Linked DNA regions of Struthio camelus. The protein of the gene in region 2 purifies or fractionates together with the protein of the main gene of each other region. This does not show direct contact. Links are inferred from orthologs where the notes say so. Each region holds a gene or a part of one and is shown on either strand. Other genes may lie near its edges. The genes, in order: SETDB1, SUV39H1 and EHMT1.

Region 1 (7,288 bases), on a different chromosome or scaffold from region 2:
CTTCCTCCAGGCAGAGGATCACCCCTTTGTTACTGACTTGAGAGAGCAAGAGTTGAAAGGATATTCTGCTTTCTTCTGACAGGCACGCACCAGCTATTCTGCTCAGCAGTTTAAAAACAGGTGGAGGTAAGATTTGTAAAAGTCCCTTTCAAAACACCAAGCCAATTCAAATAAACCTCAAGGAAACATATAGCAAAAAAGACCGAAAAAACAACATAAGCCATTAGGGATAACAAATGCAAGTGAGTCCCACCAGGCCTCCCTCCCTGCCAGAGGAGCTATGAGAGAAACCAGACCCCAGCACCATGTACGCGGATGAGGCATGCGCATGGCCCACGCCAGCCGTTCAAGCTAAGGGAGCAACAACAGGCACAAACATCTTTCTCTCCAACACGCTAGCTCACACACCATCTTCTTCTCTCCCCCAGCACCTCCAGCTCACTTTCCTCTTCCAAAACAACCTGCCGTTCAGCATAGTGCCCCCTTTCCAAGTTTCCCCCATTCAACAATCCCTCCACCACCCCACTTCTCCAAGCCCTTCCCGAGCACCCCAAGCCTCCCCCTGAGCTGGGTCCCTCAGCATCCTTTCCCCACCCCAACTCCCTCATCTGCTCTCCCAGGGCCACCCCATCAAGTCCTCCTGACATCCCTCCCCCACACCTCCTGACACTGTACCCCAAATGACACCCCTTATCCCAGCCCAGCACACCCAAATGGCCCCCCAACCCAGCACTCAGGCCCTGCAGCTCAGCCTAGACCTCTATAATTTCCAGTCCCTAGAGATAACCCCCCTTCACCCCCCTAAAGGCTCCCCTCACCCAACACCCAAGCCCCTTAGCTCAGCCCAGGCCCCTAAACCTCCCAGCCCCCAGAGAACACCCCTTCCTCCTCCCAAAGGCCCCTGACCAAGGCTCCCGTCCCCTCAGCCCTGCTCCCCCAACCCTCCTCACCCAGGCGACACCCTTGGGCCCCCCTAACCACCCGCCGGGACCTGGTCCACCCTAGTCCCCTCGCAACGACCCCTCTGGCCTGGCCCAGCCCCTCTTAACAGCCCCATTAGTCCAGCCCCTGCCAAAGCCCTCGGGCCCACCCAGCCCCTCTCAGTGGCTCTTTCGGCCCCGCACCCCTCAGCAGCGCCCTGCGCGACCCCCTTCGGCCTGGCCTGGCCCTGCCCTTCTACGGCCCGGTCCCCCAGCCCCCCACGCCCCCCTCAGAGCTCCTGAGCCCTGTCGCCCCCGCAGCTTGCTTCCGCGCCCCCCGCAAGCCATCTAGCGCAGCAGCTCCAGCTCACCCGGGTTGGCGGCGGTGGCTGCCATAACCGGGGCGGGCGGGCGGGCGGGCAGACTCCCCCCCCCCCTCCCCTCCTCCCTCCTCACCGCCGCCACTGCCAAGATGGCGGCGCAGGAAAACCCGGGGCGCTGCGGCGCAGCCTAGCCTGCCCGTCCAGAGGGGCGGGGCGGAGACGAGGCGGAGCATCCCCATTGGCCTAGACAGGGCTGAGGGGTGGGAGCAAAGAGGCAGGCAGCACAGCCTCTGCCAGCAGGGTAGGGTGACCCCAGGCATGTCCCGCCCCCTTCGCGGGGCGGGGGCGTGGCCAAAGCGGGGGTGTGTGGAGTGGGGGGGGCCAGTGGGAGACTTAAAGGGCGGTTTCGGTGACGTTCTATGTTGCTTTTTTTTTTTTTTTTTTTTTGTCGGAGGACAGGAACCCTATGGGGATTGGGACTGGGACTGAAAATGGACATGGAATTAGGATTTTGACTAGCATTGGGTTTGGACTCGGGCTGGGGATGGGATTGAGTTTAGGGATGGGGTTTGAATTTGGGATTGGCGGACTGGGACTGGGATTGGGGTCGGGCTGTGGCAGGAAAGTGGTAAAGTGGTTAATTATAGCCAATTTTCATAGCACACGCTGGGCCTGGCCCTCCAGAAGCCCCCGTGAGTGGGGCCGGATGGTGGCAGGGGCCAGCTGGGGTCCCCCCGCCTCTCCCCAGCATGGGAGGGGGTTCCTGGCTGTAAACGGGCTCATTCGGTTCGCTTCCCGGCGCGGCGCCCTCCTCGTGCGCTGCCCTTCGTCCCGCTGGCAGAAACCTGACAAATTATGCAAGGGGGGGGGCCATCGCCTGGCCTGACCCTGCAGAGCCCTTGGGGGGCCACAGGCCCTGAAAGGGTCACCCTTGGCTCCATTGGTGGGTGCTGAGGGTGCTCAGCACCCAGCCGGGACACCTGCCGCCCATGAGCTCTCACCCACAGCGCAAAGGAGCCGCTGGAAAAACTTTCAGCCTGAGCGGGCGATAATTTAATCTGCGAGATCGTTTCTCCTGGTTACTGCGAGTGCCTGAAAGGCGACGCCGCCGTGTTCCTGCAGTATTCATGAACCCCCGGGGATGGTGCCATGGCCCCAAAGCGGCACCGAGCAGGGCAGAGTGGCCAGTCCGTCTGTCCGCCCGCCTGCCAGGAGGTAAGGAACAGCCCCAGATGGCATGTCTGGGGCTGCTAGGGACGGGATCGATGGGTGCTACGGGACTTTGCGGGTCCTATTTCAGCATGTGCCGTCATTGGGGCTGAGCTCATTTGATCCTGGTGCATATGGCACTTTAATACGTATATATAGGCATATACATATATATATCGGCATAGATGTACATGCAGCTCAGGCCGCAGGGCTGTGCCTGACGGCCTTGCCAAGCCTCTACCTCTGCCCCTACCTCGTGCAAATCTGTCTGTCCGCCAGCATCTCTCTTAAGCAACCTGGAGACCCTCCACTGTCGCCACTTTTGGCTTTTCCCAGCCTCCACGGGCACCTGTCGCGTTTCCAATCTGAGCCATCACTTTGCGAAGGTTCAACTGAGCCCTGGCATGCTCAGTGCACCTAATGCTTCCGGGGGTCCTGCTGCTCTGGGGCAAAGTGGCTGTGGAAAAAAAAAAAAAAAAAACCAATAGCGGGGATGTTTTAAAGCTGGGCCAAACCGAGCCGGGTGATGCTGGGGCCGACAGCCCAGGGCCAGGGACTACGCACCTGAGGGCTGCCTGCATGGAGCCTGGCCCAGCCACCAGCCCTCCAGCCCTCGACGTGGACAAGGGCATCACCGTGGCCTTCGTGGTGCTCATGTGCCTCTTCCTGCTGGCCATGGCAGTGCGGTGCGCCCGGCTCGTGGTGGACCCCTACAGCGCCATCCCCACCGCCACCTGGGAGGAGGAACAGGTCAACTGAGCCCCACGGGGCCCGCTGGCACCCTCAGGGCTCCCCAGGGCTCCTGGCACCCCAGAACCCTCCAGCACCTGAGGCAACCCCAACACCTCCATCGCTTCACGGCCCCCCAGCACTCCCCAGTCACCCCAGGGCTCCTGGCACCCCAGGACCCTCCAGCACCTGAGGCAACCCCAACACCTCCATCGCTTCACGGCCCCCCAGCACTCCCCAGTCACCCCAGGGCTCCTGGCACCCCAGGACCCTCCAGCACCTGAGGCAACCCCAACACCTCCATCGCTTCACGGCCCCCCAGCACTCCCCAGTCACCCCAGGGCTCCTGGCACCCCAGGACCCTCCAGCACCTGAGGCAACCCCAACACCTCCATCGCTTCACGGCCCCCCCAGCACTCCCCAGTCACCCCGGGGCTCCTGGCACCCCAGGACCCTCCAGCACCTGAGGCAACCCCAACACCTCCATCGCTTCACGGCCCCCCAGCACTCCCCAGTCACCCCAGGGCTCCTGGCACCCCAGGACCCTCCAGCACCTGAGGCAACCCCAACACCTCCATCGCTTCACGGCCCCCCCAGCACTCCCCAGTCACCCCGGGGCTCCTGGCACCCCAGGACCCTCCAGCACCTGAGGCAACCCCAACACCTCCATCGCTTCACGGCCCCCCCAGCACTCCCCAGTCACCCCAGGGCCACCCGTTACCCACAGGACCCCCCAGCACTCCCCATCACCCCAGGGCCCCCTCCTTATACCCAGGACCCCTTACTGCCCCCAGCACCCTCCATCTCCCCAGGGCCCCCCCATTACCCCCGGGATCCCCTATTGCCCCAGGACCCTCCATCTCTCCAGCACCCCAGGGCTCGGGCTCCAGCAGGGGGGCGCTACCCCTTTAAAAGCGCCCTGCTTCTTTGCGCATGCGCTCTGGCCTGCCCGCAAGTCCCGGGCTGGCGAGCGGCGGTCCGCCTCATGCGCATGCGCACTATCGTGTCTCTGCGCCGTGCCGGCCAGAGGGGGAGAATTGGGCTCCTTGGGCTGCCGTTACCGGAAGTGACGCCAGTGACTTCCGGCTCCCCCCCCCACCGCCTGCTCTCTAGTAATCGGGGTCGCGGCCGGCCCCGGGCCTTAGGGGTGAGGTGAGTGTGGCTGGCCCGGGGGGGGTGGGCCTGGGAGCGAGGAGGGGCTGTGAGGCGGGGGGCATCGGGGAGAGGGGGTCTAGGGGTGAGGAGGGGGCTGTGGGGCGGGGGGCATCAGGATGAGGTCTGTTGTGGGGCTGTTGGGGGCAAGGAAGGGGCTGTGGGGCAGGTAGTGCTGGAGTGGGGTTTGTGAGGCGATATTGGGAGTAAAGGGGCGCTATGGGGCAGGGGGAATCTGGGTGGGGGGTCCTAGGGGTGGTGATGGGGTTATTGGGGGCAAGGCGGGAGCTGTGGGGCAGAGGGTATTGATGTGGGAGGGATATTGGGGGTAAGGAGGCTGTAGGACTTGGGCTGTTGGGATAAAGGTTACTGGTGGTGCTGGTGCTTTTGGAGGCAAGGAGGGGGCTGTGGGGCAGGGGTTATTGGCATAGGGGATGTTGGGAGGTTGTGAGGGGATACAGAGGGTAATGGGGGCTGTGGGGCAGGGGAAATCTGACTGAGAGGTGCTGAGGCTGTGGAGGGATGTTGGGGTCGAGGAGATGGCTGTAGGGCAGGGGGTATTGGAGTGAGGGTATTATGGGACTGGGGGGGATATTGAGTGGTAAGGAAAGGGCTGTGGGACAGGAGGATATTGGTGTGAGAGGTGGCGTGGGACTGAGAAGATGTTTGGAGTGAGGAGAGGGTTTGAGAGGCAGTGGAACAAGAGATGGAGAGTACTGGGTGGGGGCGTAGGGGGTCTGTGGGGTAGGGGGTATCAACGGCTGGGAGTTGATAGGTGGTTGTGGGCATAGGGGAGCTGTGGGGTGAGAGAGTGTTAGGGTGAGGGCTGTGAGGCAGGATGTGTTGGCAGCTGAGGGACTGATGGAGGCTTGGGGCGGAGGAGGGCTGTGGAGGTATTGGGATGGGGGGCTGTGGGGAGGAGGAGCAGGGTATTGGGATGGGGTGCAGCTGGGGGCTGTTGGGCAGGGAGCTAGCTATGAGGAGGGCACTGGGGTGAAGATGGGGCCAGTGAGGGGGGTTGGGGAAATGGGGGGCTGTGGGGAAATTGGAGGTTTTTGGGGTGGTGGGAGTGGAGCTGGGAGGTGTGGGGGGTGGGGGAGAGGTATATGGGGCTTGCATCTGGGGATGGCCTGGGAGCAGCTGGGAGAGAAATGCTGTGGGGGAGAGAAATCTGGATGGGGCTGGAGCAGGGCAATGGGAGAGAGGGGGGAGGCCTGGGATGGGAGGTGGCATGGGGGAGCAGGAGAGTGAGGGAGGCTGGAGATAAGTATTTGCTTGGATGCAGACAGGGAGAGTGCAGGGAGAGATGAGAGAGGGGCTGCTGGCAGGAGAGCGGACTTGAATATAGAGGAGACTGCTCGCTTTATCGCCAGGCACAGAGCGAAGGGGGCCACAGGCTGCACACCTGGAGAGGGGAAGCCGCTGGGGCCCTCCCTGGGGCTGGGGATGGATGTTATAATGCTCTTTACATACCCTAGGAAGGAGAGGGATGGAGCTGTTCTGGGCTGCTGCTTGAAGGCGAAGCTGTAGCACAGACTGGGAGAGGTGTCTGCTTGGTTTTTCCAGGCCAGGCAGAGGTGTCCGAGAGTTGGGAACGCTTCGCAGGTGTTGTGGAGAAGAGGGTTAGCGTAAGGGTCTGGTATTCAGCAGGATCCATGCAGGGATCAGAGAAAATACTTTCTGCTTGTCCTAGGAGCCTTCAGCTCCGTGGGTCATTTGCACTTTGGTTATTTTTGGCTCTCTGTAATGCTGTCTTAACAGAATATATAACATAATCTTCCAGATCAGCTCTTAAAAGTGGAGGCTGTGATAGAGCCATAGAATCTTGCTGGGCTTTTCTCAGCTCCTTGTGGCTTCAGGTGCAGCAGAAATGGATTCCCAGGAGATCAAAGAGCTACAACAAGAAGTTATGGAGGAGCTAGGTATCTCCATGGAGGAGCTCCAGGACATCATTGACGAAGAGCTGGAGAAGTTTGAGTGTGTGAAGCAGAGGAAGCAGCAGCTGGAGGAGCTGGAGAAGTGCGTGAAGCAGAAGGAAGAGGAGGTGGCTCACGTCGACCGGCTCTTTGATGATGCTTCAAGGTGGGCGCACTTGGAATTGTGGCTGTGTGTCCAAGTCAGGCCTTGAAGGAGCAGAGGAGATCAGATGGCAGGGTCCAGTGTTTTGAGCACTGCCTGTTTCCCGTCCGTGTGCACTGATGCTGCAGTTCTTCGTCAGCTCACTTGTATGAGGTTCTTGAGGAACAGTTAAAATTATTCCTCATCCTGTGGCTTCGAATTCTTCGCACAAATACTCTTTCCTCACCTACCAATGGTTATATTTAATTAGCAGGTCTCCAGCAGCACCTGTTTGTTTCTGTGTTATTGTGGGATGTACAGCTGGGTTCACCTTGTCTTTTCCTGTCTCTGCTCCTCTTTTTTTTTTTTTCCCCAGAGCCATTGATAAATGTGAGATATTAGTAAAAGATCTGTACTCCAAGCTGGGCCTCCAGTATCGTGAGAGCAGTTCTGAGGACGAGGACTTGGCTGCTAAGGCCACAGAAGTGATCGAGATCCCAGATGAGGACGATGATGATGTCATGAGCATTGACTCGGGCTGGAAGCACAGTTCAGTATCCCGTTATGCTGCGTGGTGCTGAGGGGAGGGATGGACATACGAGCGTGTCCTGGAGGAGGAAGGGAATGAGTAGGGATCAGGGTGAAGATGTTGTAAAGTAGCCCATAAGCACTGTTGGTCCTTAAGCACAAGAGGATCAGAGAGGAAATGCCCTTGGCTTGTGCGAGGAACATCACCTCTTGCGTGGTCTGTCTGGGCCTGTAACTATTCCATGGCTCTTGAGTTAAGGTTTGTTCAGGTGCCGAGCTGGGACCTTTCCCTTTTTCTGTCTGCCTGATCGTTGTCCCGTCAAATGCTGCTTTTGCTCTGGGGAAGCTGCCTGTATGGCAGATCATGCA
Region 2 (7,425 bases):
TCAACTGCGACGAGAGCCTGCTGGCCTCCAGCGACGCCACCGGCACCGTCATCGTATGGCGCCGCCAGCACGCCTAGTGCCCCCTGCCCCTGCACGGCACGGAGCCCCCCAGCTTGGCAAACAGAGCGTGTTTTGCACCCATGTGCGCGTGTCGGCTGCCTGCGTGCGTGCCGGGGGGGGGGGGGGGGCTAGAAGAGGTACTTGCGGCAGGTGGCGGCCCCACACTTGCACTCGATGCGGCCCCGGGCCCGGGGGGAACCGCCCAGGCCCCCAGCCAGCCCGAAGTTGGAGTCCATCCGCGTGCTCTCGGCATCCACTGGGTCCACTGCCGGGGGGGATGGGGCACAAGGGGTGTGTCAGCGGATGGGAAGTGCTGTGGTACAATCCAACACCCCCCTGTCTCTATGGCCGTGGTATGGCCCACCTACCCCCAATCTCTATGGCTGTGGTACGGCCCAGCTGCCCTCCCCCCCCATCTCTTTGGCAGTGGTACACCCAGCTGCCCCCCCCCCCCCCGCCCAGGGGCTGGCCCGGGGGCGGGGCTCACCGTGCATGTTGTAGTCGAAGGTGAGCTCCTCGCCGGCACGGATGGGCCGGGTGGCGAAGAGGGCAATGCGTGGCAGCCGCTCGTCCAGGTTGTCGATGAAGACATTGTACACCTGCAGGTTGGGGTCACACTGCAGGGGCAGGAGGAAGGTGTTAGGCCACACCCCCAGCACAGGCTCCTCCTCCTCAGCACTGCCTGGCTCCACCCACAAGCACCGACCCCCCCCCCCAAGCTGCAGCAACACCCCCAGGGCACCTGGCAGGCCTGGCACACCGGGCCCCACCCCTGAGCGTTTAGCCCCGCCCCCACTCACACTGTGGTTGACAAAGTGGGAGATGTTGCCATAGCGGGCAGCGTCCACAGTGTAGACGTCCTCCACGTAGTCCAGGTCGAAGAGGTAGGTGGCTCCCTGGCGGTCATAGACCTGCCCCCGCCGCTCCGCCTCCTCCGACGTGATGATCTGGGGGCCGGGGGGGCGCACGGGGGTGAGCTCATGCCAGGGTGATACAGGGACACAGCAATGACCTCACGTGTCCCCATGACCCCTCCCATGTCCCCACGGCTCACGCCAGGGTGATACAGGGACACAGCAATGACCTCCTGTGTCCCCACATCCCCTTCTGTGTCCCCATGGCTCACGCCAGGGTGATACAGGGACACAGCAATGACCTCCTGTGTCTCCACATCCCCTCCCATGTCCCCAGGGCTCACACCATGGCAATATAGGCGCACAGCAGTGCCCTCCTGCGTCTGCACAGTGACACAGGGCAGCTGCAGCAATGCCACCCCATGTGTCCCCGCCCCCGCGGTGGCACAGCGCTCACCTCACCCACGTACTCCATGACAAAGCTGTTCTTGCGGATGCGCTCGAGGGTGCGGACGCCCCAGCCCCGGCCATTGCCAGTGCGGAAGATGCAGAGGTCGTAGCGAATGCCCTTCTGCACCACGCGGTTGGGGCACTCGGCCCCGCAGCGGCACCGCGAGTTGCACTCGTAGATGGGCAGCCCAGCCCGGATGCGCACTTGCCCGGCCTCGTTGTAGGCGAATTTGTTGCGCGAGGCGCCGGGGCAGCAACCGCCAGCCGCCTCGGCCAGGCAGTCACGGCACTCGCAGCCCACGGCCACGGGGCTGAGGGTGATGCCGGCCCCCACCTTGTACTCATTGATGTAGATGAAGTCCCGGGGCGGGCCGTGCAGGTCCACCTCGTTCTCCACAGCGATACGGCCCCGGTGGCGGCGCTTGGTGTTGAGGTGGCGCTCCCAGCGGCGCAGGGCCCGCCGCTGCTCTGCTTTCTGCACCAGGTAGGAGGAGGCGCGGGCAGGCAGGCCCCGTGGGCCAGGCCGGGCCGGCCCTCCCGGGGCACGCGCCAGGTCCTGGTGCAGCTGCTTGAGCAGCCCCCGGCAGCGCAGGTTCTTGCGGGGCTCCCAGGTGTTGGCTGCCTCGGGGTAGCCCCGCCACTTCACCAGGTAGAACTCCTCGGCCTGTGTGGCAGGGAGACCATGTCACTGCAGGCCCGGACACCTGGGGCCATGCTGAGCCTCAGGATCCCAGAGGACCCAGGTGCCCGGGACCTTCCCAGCTCTCCTGAGAGTCATTGGGGACCGAGGTATCCAGGGCCTTCCCGGCCCCTCCTGGACCCACGAGGGACCCAGTCCAGGGCCTTCCTGGAGGCACGGGTCACCCAGGCGTCCAAGGGCCCAATGCTCTGGGGACCCAGGCGTCCGTGCTCCCCACCTCTGCGAGGGACCCAGGTGTCCAGGCGTGCACTCACCCCCACTCTCTTGTAGTCGCACAGGTACTCCACCTCGAAGTGGGCCAGGTTGCGGCGGGTGACGCCTAGCGCCCGGCACCGCAGCCGCTCCAGGCGGCACAGGTCCTGCAGCTGCGCCCAGGACGACTTGCAGCACACGGAGCAGCCTGCGGGGCACCGGGGGGCGGGGGCACCTTCACCAACGCGCGTGGGCCCCACCCACCGCTGCCTGGACGCCCCACGGGACCTACCTGCCACACGCGTCTGAGGTCGAGGGTGGCGCGGCGCCCACGCGCGTGGAAGCCCCCCGGTTCCGTGCCAGCCCCACAGGCGTGGGGATAGCCTCCCCACCCCCCCGAAGCACCGGGCGCCCCCGCACCCCCCGCCGGCGGAGGAGCCGCCTCAGCGCGCCCCGCGCCCCCTCACGCACTGCCCCTCCCCCGCCCCCCGCGCCCCCTTTTATACCCGCCGCGCGCGCGCTGCCCCCCTCAGAAAAGGCGGGAAAAGGCGCCTCCCCCCTCACAGCGCGCGGCTGTTCAACGGTCGCGCAGCGCGCCAGGTGTGGGGGGGCGGGGGGGCGTTCGAACGCGGCCCGCGCGCGCGCCCCGCGACCGTTAAACCGCCGCGCGCGGCCGTTAAACGACCGCCGCCCTCCCGCGCCCCGCGCTCACCTTTTAAATTTTCCGCCATCTTTTTTTTTCCTCCCCCCTCCCCCCCCGACAGGCACCGCGCGGCCGCCGCACCGCGCGGCCCCGCCCCCTCCCTCCGATTGGCAGCGCCCGCCCGCCTTATTTGCATATACCCAGCAGCCCCCGCGCTCCTTCCCGGTGTCACCGCCCACGCCAGGGCCGCTTTTTTTTTTTTTTTTAACCAATTTCCGCTTCTTTTCCCCCGCCCTGGGCACACCCAGGGCTCGTGCCCTGCCTCCGCCTTCTCGCCTCGGGGCGGAAAGCGGGATATTCCCCCCCACCCCCGCCCCACAAAGCCTCAGAGTGATGGAACGTAGCAATCACACGTAGCCGTTAATTAATTAATCTCATTCATTAATCTTTGTAACACGTTGTTTGTGAAGCATGGCCGTGCTTGCTGGTGGCTGGGGCCACGTGGTGTGGGGGGGTGCCGCCAAGCGGCCCCGCTCACCTCGAGGCAACGGCTTCGTTCGTTAGCAGCTCGAGCAAACGAGGTGGTGCGGTGCTGGTTTATTCCTTAGCAGCTTGCACAAATGAAGCCCCCCCCCCCAAAAAAAAAAGTGCGGGGGAAGGAGACGTTATCCACAGTCCCCCAGGTCTCGTTCACGCCAACACGGCGCTCGGCCTCCGCCATGGGGTGGCCCGCATAAACCCCATGTGTGGGGCGCTATGGGGCAGGTGGGGGGGGTAAGCGAGGTCGTACCGGACCAGGCCCGCAAAGCAAAGCACTGTGGGAAAGAGGGGGTGCTACAGGGCGGGGGGGACACACAAACACGGGGGCTCCATGGGCCAGCGCCACGGGGCTCAGTCATCCCACTCGTCGTCCTCGTCCTCCTCGGCGTCCTCGGCCTCGTCTGGGGGGGAGGAAGCAGGGGGTGAGCAGGGTTTGGAGGGGGGAACAGCGCAGGGGGTGCCCTTCACATGTGGGGTGGCCCCCTGCGTGTGGGGCGGCAGCCCCCCAGCTCACCGGATGAGTGGATGGCCTTGCTGCGCTTCTGCATGACCTGCATGAGGGCCCCCACCAGCCCCTCGGGAGGCTGCCCCACGGCACCCGCCTCAGGGGCCTCAGGGGTCTGCAGGTAGGGAAAGGGAACAGAGTCAGGGCTACCCCACAGAACGCTGCTCCACACTGTTACCTGTCCCACGCAACCTACCCCACAGTGTCCCCTGCCCAAAACCTCTCCCCCCACCCCACAGTAACCTGCCCCACGCTGTCCTCCACCCCATGGCAACCTGCCCCACAGTAACCTGCCCCACGCTGTCCTCTGCCCCATGGCAACCTGCTCCACACCTCCCCCTGCCCCACGACAACCTGCCCCACACCGTCCCCTGCCCCATGACACCCTACTCCACACCATCCCCTGCCCCATGGCAACCTGCTCCACACCTCCCCCCGCCCCACGGCAACCCACCCCACACCGTCCCCTGCCCCATGACACCCTACTCCACACCATCCCCTGCCCCATGGCAACCTGCTCCACACCTCCCCCCGCCCCACGGCAACCCACCCCACACCGTCCCCTGCCCCACACCGTCCCCTGCCCCATGACACCCTACTCCACACTGTCCCCCGCCCCATGGCGACCTGCTCCACATCGTCCCCCAGCCCCGTGCCCCCCGACCTTGTTGAGCTGCACGCCCTGCCGGATCTGGTCCAGGAGGGCCCCGCGGCCCTGGGGGGGCCCCGCGGCGGGGGCACCGGCGGTGGCGCCAGCAGCCGGCGGCGGCGGCGGCGGCGGCGGCGGGGGGGGTGGGGGGGCTCCGCCGCGCGCCGGGGGGGCGGGGCTCCCGCGCGCAGGGGGCGGGCCGGCGGCAGGGGGCGGGGCAGGGGGCGGGGCCCCGCGCGGCGGCGGCGGGGCCGGCGGCGGCGCCCCGGGCGGCGGCGGCGGCAGCGGCCCCTGGCGGCCGCGGGGGGCGGGGCCGGCCGCGGGGGGCGGTGGCGGCGGCGCGGCGGCGGCGCGGCCCGGGGGGGGCGGCGGCCCTGGGGGAGGGGAGAGAGGCGTCAGCGCCCGGCGGGAGCCCCGCCCCCGGGGCCACGCCCCTAGGGCTGGGGGGGCACGTGGCACCTAGGGGGGTATGGGGCCTATAATGGTGGGGCATGGGGCCTGTAACAGGGCATAGGGAGCCTATAATGGGGGGGGGTGGGGCCTATAACGGGGCATAGGGAGCCTATAACGGAGGAGGTATGGAGCCTATAACGGGGGGGTGGGGCCTATAATGGGGCATAGGGAGCCTATAACGGAGGAGGCATGGAGCCTATAACGGGGGGGTGGGGCCTATAACGGGGCATAGGGAGCCTATAACGGAGGAGGTATGGAGCCTATAATGGAGGGGGTGGGGCCTATAACGGGGCATAGGGAGCCTATAACGGAGGAGGTATGGACCCTATAACGGAGGCCCATGGACCCTATAATGGGGCATAAGGGCCCTATAACAGGAAGGGGTATGGACCCTATAATGGGGAGGGTATGGATGCTTTAACGGGGGGGCATGGGGCCTATCTGGGGGACTACGGACCCTACGGCGAGGGTCGTACGGGTCTTACAGCGGGGCCTGAGGGGCCTACCCCGGAGGAGACAGGTGGCTGCCGTCATCGGGGCGGCGGAGCCCCTCGGGCCCGGGGGCGCAGGGAGCGCTGCGCGGCCGCTGGGGGGCTCACCGTGGCGGCGCATCTCCTCCTTGACGGCCTGCAGGCCGCCCTGGCCCTCGATGAAGTCGTAGATGAGGCGCGAGGTCTCGGCGTCGGCCAGCTGCGCCTCGCTGATGCCGGCCCGGGCGAACAGCGCCCGCAAGTCTGGGTCCAGCTCCTGCACCTGCGGCCCGGCACCTACGGCCTCCGTAGGGCTGCTGGCACCACCCGCCGCCCTCCCCGCGGGTATGGGGCCGTGCTGCCCGCCCCGCCCTGGGGGCGTGGGGTGTATAGCACCCACCCTGGGGGGGTGGGACCCCACAGGACCTCCCCAGGGGGCTATGGGACCTATAGCACCCACCACAGGGGATATGGGACCTATAGCACCTGCCCCAGGGGATAGGACCCCTATAGGACCTCCCCAGAGGGTATGGGACCTATAGCACCCACCCTGGGGGGGGACCCCACAGGATCTTCCCAGGGGATATGGGACCTATAGTGCCTGCCCCAGGGGATAGGACCCCTATAGGACCTCCCCAGGGGATATGGGACCTATAGCACCCACCCCAGGGGATATGGAACCTATAAACCCCACCCCAGGGGGTATGACCTCTATAGAGCCTGGCTCAGGGGGTATGACCTCTATAATGCCAGCCCCGGGGGGGGGGTACGGGCCCTATAGCACTTGCCCTGGGGGGTTATGACCCCTATAGCACCCACCTAAGGGGGTACAGGCCCTATAGCACCCACCCCGGGGCAGTGTGGGGCACATAGCTGCCACCTAGAGGGGTGTGGGGCCTATAGCCTCTGCAGGGGAGCTCTAGTGCCCATGGGAGGGAGGTGTTTCTCCTATACAGCCCAGGGGGTCTCTCCCCTATAGAGCTTGGGGGGGTCCATCCCCCCTATGGGGCCCACAGGGTTCTTCCACCCATAAGGCCTGAGGGTCACAGCCCCTATGGGGTGACGTACGTTGAAGCCGCTGTTGGGGTCCCATCCGATGTGACCCACGTGCCTGGTGGGGGGTGGTGATATGAGGGGTTGCCCCATAGCAGGAGGGCTGGACCCATGGCCGAGCCCTGCCCCATATGTACCCTGCCCCTCACGTCCCCCCCAGCCCCACACGTCCCCCTGCCCCACACATCTCCCCACCCCACACATCCCCCCAGCCCCACACATCCCAGACCTACTTGAAGCCGGAGGGTGCCCCGATGTCAGCCTTGGAGATCTTCTTGCGACCCCGCTTGCGGTCAGTGGCTGTGGGGCCTGCTGTGGGGCCCGCTGTGGGGCCAGCCGTGGGGCTGGGCAGCCCCCGGTAGCGGCTCGCCGTGATGTCGGGGTTGGCAATGGGCACAGCCGGCACTGGGGGGGCTGCGGGGGCATGTGTGTGGGGCGGGGGCCGCTATGGGGCTTGGCGGCCACTATGGGGCAGGGGGACTCCCTTTGGGGCAGTAGAGACTGGCTATGGTGCAGGGGAACCCACTATGGGGCAGAGGGGACCCTGCTAGGGGGCTAGAACACTGCTATGAGGCAGGGACTGTGCTATGGGGCAGGCAAACCCACTATAGGGTAGGAGAGACCCCACTATGGGGCAGGAACCACTTGCTATGGGGCATCAAGGATCCCCTTATAGGGCAGGGACATTCCATTATGGGGCAGGGACCCCGCTGTGGGGCAGCGGAGCCCCTGCTATGGGGCAGTCACTCACCACAGCCATCCCCGGCAGATGCAGGGGGCCGGGGCAGACTCCCGCGGCGCTCTGTGATGGGGGGCAGAGGAGGTCAGCGCCCCACGGCTGCCCCACAACATCCCC
Region 3 (7,563 bases), on a different chromosome or scaffold from region 2:
TATTTGATACGCGAGTTCATGATTTTGGGAGAAGTATAAAAGCATCATGAAATTTTGATTCTCTTCAAATGAAGAACTTGTTTACAGGAGGAATGTTTGTAATGGTTAAAAGAAAAATTTAGGTGTGAGGTCAAAGAACAGGGAAACGTTGGAACACGTGAGATTCGTAGGCAGAAGCTGAAATGGTCTCCAGTGTTTCGGTGAAGTGTTGCAGCAGAAGTGAGACAGCATGTAAGCAGCCATTTTTACTGCCTGCTTTCCTGGCAGAAGACTACTAAAAAGCAGTCTAAAGGCTTTGCGTGACGCGCTGAAATGCTGCCGATTCCCACCCCATCGACCATTCCAGAATAAAGCAATAAAACATTTGTGTGTGGAGCAAATTGCTAGTGTGGTTAAAGCAATAAGCTTCATCCCTGTTTTCGAAGATGGGGTATGCACGTGATGTGTTTAGTGCCCTTCTCAAGTCAGGCTGTAAGTGTATGGTAGAAGCTCTTAATATATGGTAGCTGAATGAAGGGGAGAAATGGCGTTTTTAGCTTTCCAAAATAGAAAGAGCCGTGGTTACTCTAAGTTAAAGCTGAAGGAGTTTATAATTGGGAACTGTTAGGAATACAGTATGCTCTGAATTACAGCTGTCTGTCCAATATGACTCTAAATAAAGTTCTAGGATTGCCCTGTAAATGAAATACTCAACATGCATTCTTATCAAAACATGGCAACATCTTCCAGAGAGCTTACATCTCAACATCTGTCACAACAGCATCAGTTTTTTTGGTTTTGGGGTTTGTGTGTGTGTGTGTGTGTGTGTGTGTATGTGTGTATGTGTGTATTTGTGATGTACTCAACACAGTGTCCCCGGGAACATTTTATGTTTCCTATTCACTAAAAGCAGTTTTAAGCTTTGCTGAGGAAACGGGGGGAGGGAGGGAAGTGGCTTGAAAACTTTGGAGAGAAAAAAGGAGGTTTCAAAAGGTGAAGAAAGCTGTAATTCCAGAAGCGCGCGTCCATGACTGACCGCTCCTTCAGAACTGTTACCTGAGCCTGTGAGGGGCGAAGCGGACGTTTCGGCTCGCCCTCTCTCGGAGGAGGAGGCGGAGGACGCTCAGAGTATCCCAGGACTGGGTGTTCGGCTTAGGATGCGTTCAGAGTCATCTTTGAGAAGGGAAGGAGGCGTTCTGAGAGCCTGCAGCCGAGCTGAGGAGTAGCTCTTAGCGATGGCAAAGCGAACCGGCTTTCCGGCAGAAGCGCTCGTGTTTGTGCTGGAAGCCGCTTTACCTGCGACGGCCCGGCCTGGCCTGTCGTGCTGTTGTGAGCGCTTCAGAGGAGCCTTGACAGGGAGCCTCGGCTTGGCGCGACTGTACGGGCTGAAGCGAGAGCTTGACGGAAATCAGAGAAAAGTCCTGTATTTTGGAGAGCTAAATACTGTTCTTCCTATAGAAGACAGATCTCCCCTTCCCTCCCACTTTGCCTCTCTGTGAGGAGGGAGCTGTGAAAATGACATGTGTAATGGTGTAATTAAGCAAAAGCCCTTAGGAGCCCCGTGTCCTTTGTGAAGGAAGGTTGTTGTTCTGCTGTCTTCCTCTTTAAATAAAAAGTGAGATTTTTAAAAGGCTGTTCAAGCCTCGAATCATGGAACTGAGGCCAGAGAGCCCAGAGCTTAAAATTATCCTGTAGTTTTATGGGCCCCGGTAGAACACTTTTTTTTTTTTAAAAAAAAAAAAAAAAGGCGACTGCCAGACAGTCCGCAGCAGAGACGATTCGATGGTGAGATTGCTAGAGAGTTAAATAAAACCTTCATGAGGTAGAGGCCCGTTGTAATTTTACTCAACTGCGAAGGAAAGAAAATCCACCTCAGCCATTTTGGAGAAGGATTTCACTTTCCCGGAGCGGGGAATCAGTTCAGCTTGGTGCTGTGTAGGTGAAGTCCCAGAGCAGTTAGATCGTTCAACCCTCCTAATCCCTCCGCTTGCGGCTTCGCGCTGCCGGTGCACGTGCGGGAGGCAGGGGCAGAAGAGGGAGGGCTCCTTCTCGCGTCCTGCGCCCCTGCCCCCGCAGTGCCCGGCCTCCACAAAATGGCTGCAGGGCGGCGAGGAAATGGCGGCCCTGGCACAGCCTCCCTGGGCCCTGGGTGGCAGAGGGAGCCCAGCAGTGCGGGCTGCCCCGTGCTGGGCCTGGAGGAGGCCCAGTGGGGAGGTGGGAGCTGGTGAGGCCGGCCTCGGGCGCGGGGTGGTGGTGGTGGGGGGGGGCCTTGGCCACCCCAGGCACGTGGTGGGGCCGCTTCAGGACACGGCCGCTGAGTGGCGGCGCGATGCCGTGGGCAGCATGTGTAATGCTGCAGAGGCTGTCTGGAAGCTTCTGTTTCTTTTTGGATGCCATAAATTTAAGAGCTCGGCTGTTTTTCCTCAGTAATAGCACACAAGCAGCCTCCGCTCCTCCAGAGCGTCGCTGTGCGGAGCTCCTGTAGGGCGCTGATCAATCGCTTTGCTCGAGTTGATTGTGGAGGCATCCACGATATCCTGCCTTTTTTTTTTTTCTTTTTAACCAGTGTTTAGTGCTTTCCAAGATGAAAAACGTCTCTAGCAGCTTCTGCTCGCAGTGTATTTTCACCCTCACCAGTAAAAGCATTTTTCCAGGGTTGACATGCTGCATTTATGAGTGAACCCCGTGGCGTGGGTTTGGATCATCATTATATCTCGGTCTGAAAATGGGCGTGGACCACATGAGTTCAGTGACTCAGCGTTTGTTAGTATCTTTGTTTCTGTACTTTTAGTGAAAGTTTAGTAACTTCATGCTGCCCAAGGCGGGTAACACTTCAGCTGGTTTAAAGCCCTCTTTGGTTTGAGCCACAGTGATACAGTGGATGATACAACTTCTGCCAATGTAGTCAGGTTTTGTTGTTTTCATTTTGGGCTTTTTGGCTTTGTCTTAAATGAGTTACCTCTACAACTTTTGGTGATTGATGCAAAGGCCAAAAAAAATCTCGTTATCTATATTATTACTTAGATTGACATCAAGCAAAAAAACCAGTGGGTGGCAGAGAGATCCTGGCTTTATTCTGTCACCTTGGATATTCATCCTTTATGAATTTTAGTCATGTCAATTCAGCCTTGTGTGTTTTAACTGTTTAATAGTGAAACTCCTCCAAAGCGTTTAGAGGCAAACAATGTCGTTTTAGCGGAGGCAGCCCCATGGACGGTTCTTTTGCTCTTTTAACTATTGCCACTTTGCAAACGTGCATCGACGTGGTGGTGAAATAAATACTTGGTCTGTAGGAAACGTGGCTTGTTGGCGTTTCTGGTGTGTGATAATGTGACAGCGTGGCACGCTCTTGCGGTGCTTTAGTAAAGGAGAGGAGGGGATGGGTAGAGAGAAGGCTTCATACTTGTGCTGAAGCCTTGAATTTTGAGTGCCTGCTTTCGTGCAACGTGTAAGGCAAATAAAATCATTGGGCTCCTCAAAACCTCACTATGGATTTTTCTGGGTTCCCCCCCCCCCAACGGCGCAGGCTGTTCCTTTTCCCTCCCCCTCCTCCTTCTCCTCTCGGTCCATTGTGAGGCAACACACGGAGCCAGTGTTCGTTTTAACGTTTCAGCTTCAGGAGAATTGTCTTCCCCACTCCTATTTTATGGAAAATTGTTTTTTGCTTTGGTCAAGAACAGGCGGGTGGGACTACAGCCCATTTCAGATTTCCTCTTCCTTCTTCCCTCTTCTCTTCTCCTCTGTTCTCTGCTCCCCTCCCCCTTCTCCTGGGGGAGGTTCTCCAGAGAAATATTAAACACGGAGAAACCCTCGGACTTTTGCATTGTGATAAATGTCATTTGTGCATTTGAATCCGTTCCAGCTGATCTCTGCTTACAGATGTTCCTGCAAGTTGCTCAGGCAGTTTTACTGGGAGCTTTAGCAGATATGAAGGTTGCCAAGAGTTTGTGCTTAATTGTCAAATTGAACAGAGACAAACTACTTTTATTTTGAAGCTAAAATTTCTTCTTTGCTCTTGCTGGCTGGGCCAGCTGTATCATATGGTTTGACATAGGCTGAGCTGAGAGCTACTGCACCTAGTAGTGTACTATCAGTTCTTTTTTTTTTTCTTTTTAATAATTGTATTTGTGATATGCTTTTAAGGTTGGTTATACCAGGTCATGTTATACTTTAAGTCCCTGAAGTGAAAAATAGCACCCCTTCAGCTCAGCATATCGGATCTCAAATTCACTTTCAGTTGGACACTGTACACTTAACCAGTTTAACCCGTATGCTTTTATCCCACTATTCAAAGGTCGGGCGCTTTATTAAGCAAAATATAATTAGTGCAGGGGTGTCCTCAAACTTCGATGCTATTGTGCAGCATCTCTCTCTTTTTCTTTCCCCTTTTCTTTTTTTTTGTAGGCAAGGGCTACTCTTGGAGGCCACTGAAACAGAACACATTATTACATGGTTTTAAAAGGCTTTTGCAGGCTACTGATCAGTTTTAGGCCTGGCACTAGGTCAGACCGTTGACAGATTATCTTTATTAACTGTGCGTTGCACCAGGAGGACCGAGTATCCCTGCGATGCCTTAGATAATAGTTGCTCCAATGGAAGCCCTTAAGCCTGCAGGTTCTCTGTGAAATGGCTGCAGCTTGGAGTGAACAGTGAAATGGTCTCCACTGGGCATGCTCACTCTGTAGAGGGAGCTTTTATCACATGAGCAGAAACTGAATCACTGTTCATGAGGATCTGGAATATGCAACTCTTTGAGTCTTCATCAAAAGAAGACCACAGATGTCTGCAGGTACAGTAACTTGTAGTGTCCATGTTCCATATGTCATAAATAGCAGATTCCCTCAGGTTGTGGCCGCAGACAGACTGTTGTCAGGTAGGAAAGGAGAAACCTCTGAGAGGAGGAAGACAGTTCAGATAATCATGGCTGGATTTTTTTATTTATTTTTTGCCCTATGCAAGAGAGAACAGCACAGCAGAAATGTGGGTATTGCATATTGATGCAGCATGCAGGGTAGTGTGCTGGGGCGTCTTTTGAAGAAGCGATTTACAGAATAACCTGGACAGGCGCAGTTGCTTTTCAGACTTTGACTTCTGATCTTTTGTGTTGCTATTAGTGTTACTTTGTTTTGCTCAATGGACTTGTATATAGTTCTGAATCTGAAATTACCTGTCTCTGGGGAAGTTTAGGCTTATTTCCACGCATTAAGTCAGTCTTTTATTTGTCTTCTGTGTTGGGGAGGGTGTGGAGGTTTGTCTGGATTTTTTATTTTTTTACCTTTTTTTTTTTTTTTTAAAGCATGAAGTCTTTTGAATATTTGGGTCTACCAGGAGCCCTCCCTGCTTCCGTTTCTTATAAGCAAGAAGAGAAAACCCTGGGGTCTTTAAACTGTTTGAAGACTTGAACTTTCAAAGGGAAGGAGAGGGCCTGTGGACACATTTCACTTGCTTGCTAGAAACAATTTTGACAGCCTTCGGTTATGTCAAGCAAGCCTACAGTTTAGTTTTTAGGGTGGAAGGAAGAGCGAGCATGATTTCATCAGGAAGAAAGGATCTTTTTGGGGGGGGTGGTGGTTTTGATTTTTTGGCCGTTTGTTTGTTTGTTTGATGGGGGCTTTATTTATTTATTTTCTAAGTAGCCTGCAATCCAAGAGAGCAGCTGATTAAAATGAAACGTCCGTGGTTGATTTCATGGCAGAAGGCCCATGTCAGCAGTTTGTTTAAAAGGTTGCCTAAAATTCATACCCCTGGCCCTGCCATGTGTTTTTTGTTTTGTTTTTTGTTTTGTTTTTTAAGTTGTTTGTGTTATATGCACACACAGCTGTGTTGCCTGCTACAGCGACCGGTCTGACTTGGAGCATACACCCTGTTCTTGACCTCCGCTGTTGTCTCTTAAGGATTGCAGGTTCCCAGAGCTGGGGGTGATCCTGGCACCCTCTGCCAGCCTGCAAAACACTGGCCCCAAACCCTGTCGCTTGCTGGGTTTGAGGAAGGCCCTTAAAACTTCCATATGTACCTACGTATTAAATTTTTAAATGACCAGTGAAATGTGAAGATAGCCTTTAAAGGGCTAGAGAGCTTACAGGACGGTCTGTGATATCTAATCTAAATATCTGTCATGTCTGCAGGAGACTATAGATACGCTAATTATTTGTCATCTAGTAAATGCATATTAAAGGCAAATAACATCAAAAGAAGTCATAAGGAGATGAAGTAGTTTATTTTTTAAAAGTGAAGAGCAGAGGCCTTGAAATATTACTGGATGAGCTCCTATCCAGGAAAAAATGTGTGTGGGGTTTGCTGAAGGCTAAGCAAACAAGCAACCCCCTAAAATGCTGAGGCAACACTTAGGGGTGCTAACAAGTGCATGTACGTAATATGGTGACCATGATGAGGCTTGTGTGATAGCCTGCCTAAAACACTACATAGTCACTTATTGCTGCCTGAAATTCCTTCCGAGAGCGTTGGCAAAATGATGCTGAAACGCCTGACCTACTTTTTGGAGGGAAGAGGCAAGCGTAAGGTTTGAAATTCCATGTTGCTTTTCAGCAGGGGTTAATAGTCCTAAATGTGGGCTTTTGGGTCTTATTTTTTTTCCTTCGCGTACTAAACTGACTTTTATGTTACTTTAACTCCAGTGCTAAACAGCTTCAGCCAGCCAGTGAAAATAATTGTGAGTATTTACTAGCCCAGGCAGACGCTTTCGTCGCCTGTCCTTGGCAGTCGCGTGTGAAAAAAAGCAATGCTGTTGTACTTCCCTTCAAAAGCTATTCTTCCTCTTCCCAAGCAAACGATGGGCTAGCGAACGGCCCCTCAGAGCCGTGTACCTCGCTGTTGTGTCTTGTTCATGACAGAGGGAGGTTGCTGGTGTGTGGGACATGTTTTAGGACCCCTCACGGGCTTTAAAAATCGCCCGGGCCCCCTGTTAACAGAAGCGCTGGCCATTGCAGCTCATGCTGGCTTGCAGCTAGGCATGTGAGCGGTGGTTATTGCTGCTAATGAGGCCCCCAGCTTATAAAAACAAGCCGTCTGCTGGCTCCCCGGCCTAGTAACGAGGAGGCTGGGCTGTCACGGCGCCGGATCGGGCCCGCCGCGCGAGATCCCGTTTTGCATCCGGGTGTCCGGCCGAGCGGCAGCGCTGGGGCCGTGGCTGCCTTGCAGTGTTAGTACTTTTCCTCCTTCTCCCGGCGTTTGAAAGTGTATCTCGTTACGCTGGTATGCCGCAGGAGTGCCAATGCCAGTGTGACCTCTCCCGTGTGGTGCCATCTCCTAGTGAAAAAGGATCATGTGCTTTTTTTTTTGTACAATGGCAGGGAACTATTTCATTCAGGTAAACAAGGACATTTAAGGAGCTTCGCTATCATGGCCAGCTGGTGTGGATGTTTGGGGGAGGGATGATTTGATTCCTGGTGCTTTTTTTGTTGTTGTTGCTCGTCTCTCTCTCTTTTTTTTTTTTTCCCCCTTCCTTAAAATATTCTTTCTCCTTTTCCTGTTCCTGGATCTTAGAGAGGTCAAGGAATCACTGCAGAGACTTCTGACCACCTGGACTGAGGGAATTATCTTGCCTTTCGATTCAGGCTAAAGACT

What was found.
Region 1: the proteins of SUV39H1 (region 2) and SETDB1 purify together in Homo sapiens (affinity purification with mass spectrometry; 3 studies listed by BioGRID and IntAct, counting the BioPlex papers as one, with this or other methods). This does not show direct contact. The link is inferred for Struthio camelus from reciprocal best matches to the Homo sapiens genes SUV39H1 and SETDB1.
Region 3: the proteins of SUV39H1 (region 2) and EHMT1 purify together in Homo sapiens (co-immunoprecipitation; 3 studies listed by BioGRID and IntAct, with this or other methods). This does not show direct contact. The link is inferred for Struthio camelus from reciprocal best matches to the Homo sapiens genes SUV39H1 and EHMT1.

Annotation. Positions count from the first base shown.
Region 1 is NC_090971.1:2,523,178-2,530,465, reverse strand, and holds the start of SETDB1 (histone-lysine N-methyltransferase SETDB1), read left to right. Parts: upstream 1-4,203; 5' UTR 4,204-4,333; intron 4,334-6,116; exon of another isoform or gene 6,117-6,192; 5' UTR 6,193-6,203; coding exon 6,204-6,415; intron 6,416-6,767; coding exon 6,768-6,940; intron 6,941-7,288. Other genes in the region: ARNT (aryl hydrocarbon receptor nuclear translocator), read right to left, coding at 409-502. UniProt on the Homo sapiens protein: Histone methyltransferase that specifically trimethylates 'Lys-9' of histone H3. H3 'Lys-9' trimethylation represents a specific tag for epigenetic transcriptional repression by recruiting HP1 (CBX1, CBX3 and/or CBX5) proteins to methylated histones.
Region 2 is NC_090979.1:349,859-357,283, reverse strand, and holds SUV39H1 (histone-lysine N-methyltransferase SUV39H1), read right to left. Parts: upstream 3,072-7,425; 5' UTR 2,988-3,071; coding exon 2,969-2,987; intron 2,465-2,968; coding exon 2,319-2,464; intron 2,029-2,318; coding exon 1,372-2,028; intron 1,008-1,371; coding exon 861-1,007; intron 678-860; coding exon 548-677; intron 326-547; coding exon 189-325; 3' UTR 112-188; downstream 1-111. Other genes in the region: WDR13 (WD repeat-containing protein 13), read left to right, coding at 1-77; actin nucleation-promoting factor WAS, read right to left, coding at 3,791-3,840, 3,954-4,059, 4,609-4,771, 4,922-4,967, 5,646-5,799, 6,585-6,627, 6,803-6,983, 7,321-7,371. UniProt on the Homo sapiens protein: Histone methyltransferase that specifically trimethylates 'Lys-9' of histone H3 using monomethylated H3 'Lys-9' as substrate. Also weakly methylates histone H1 (in vitro).
Region 3 is NC_090961.1:11,457,384-11,464,946, reverse strand, and holds the start of EHMT1 (histone-lysine N-methyltransferase EHMT1), read left to right. Parts: upstream 1-4,546; 5' UTR 4,547-4,705; coding exon 4,706-4,768; intron 4,769-7,563. UniProt on the Homo sapiens protein: Histone methyltransferase that specifically mono- and dimethylates 'Lys-9' of histone H3 (H3K9me1 and H3K9me2, respectively) in euchromatin.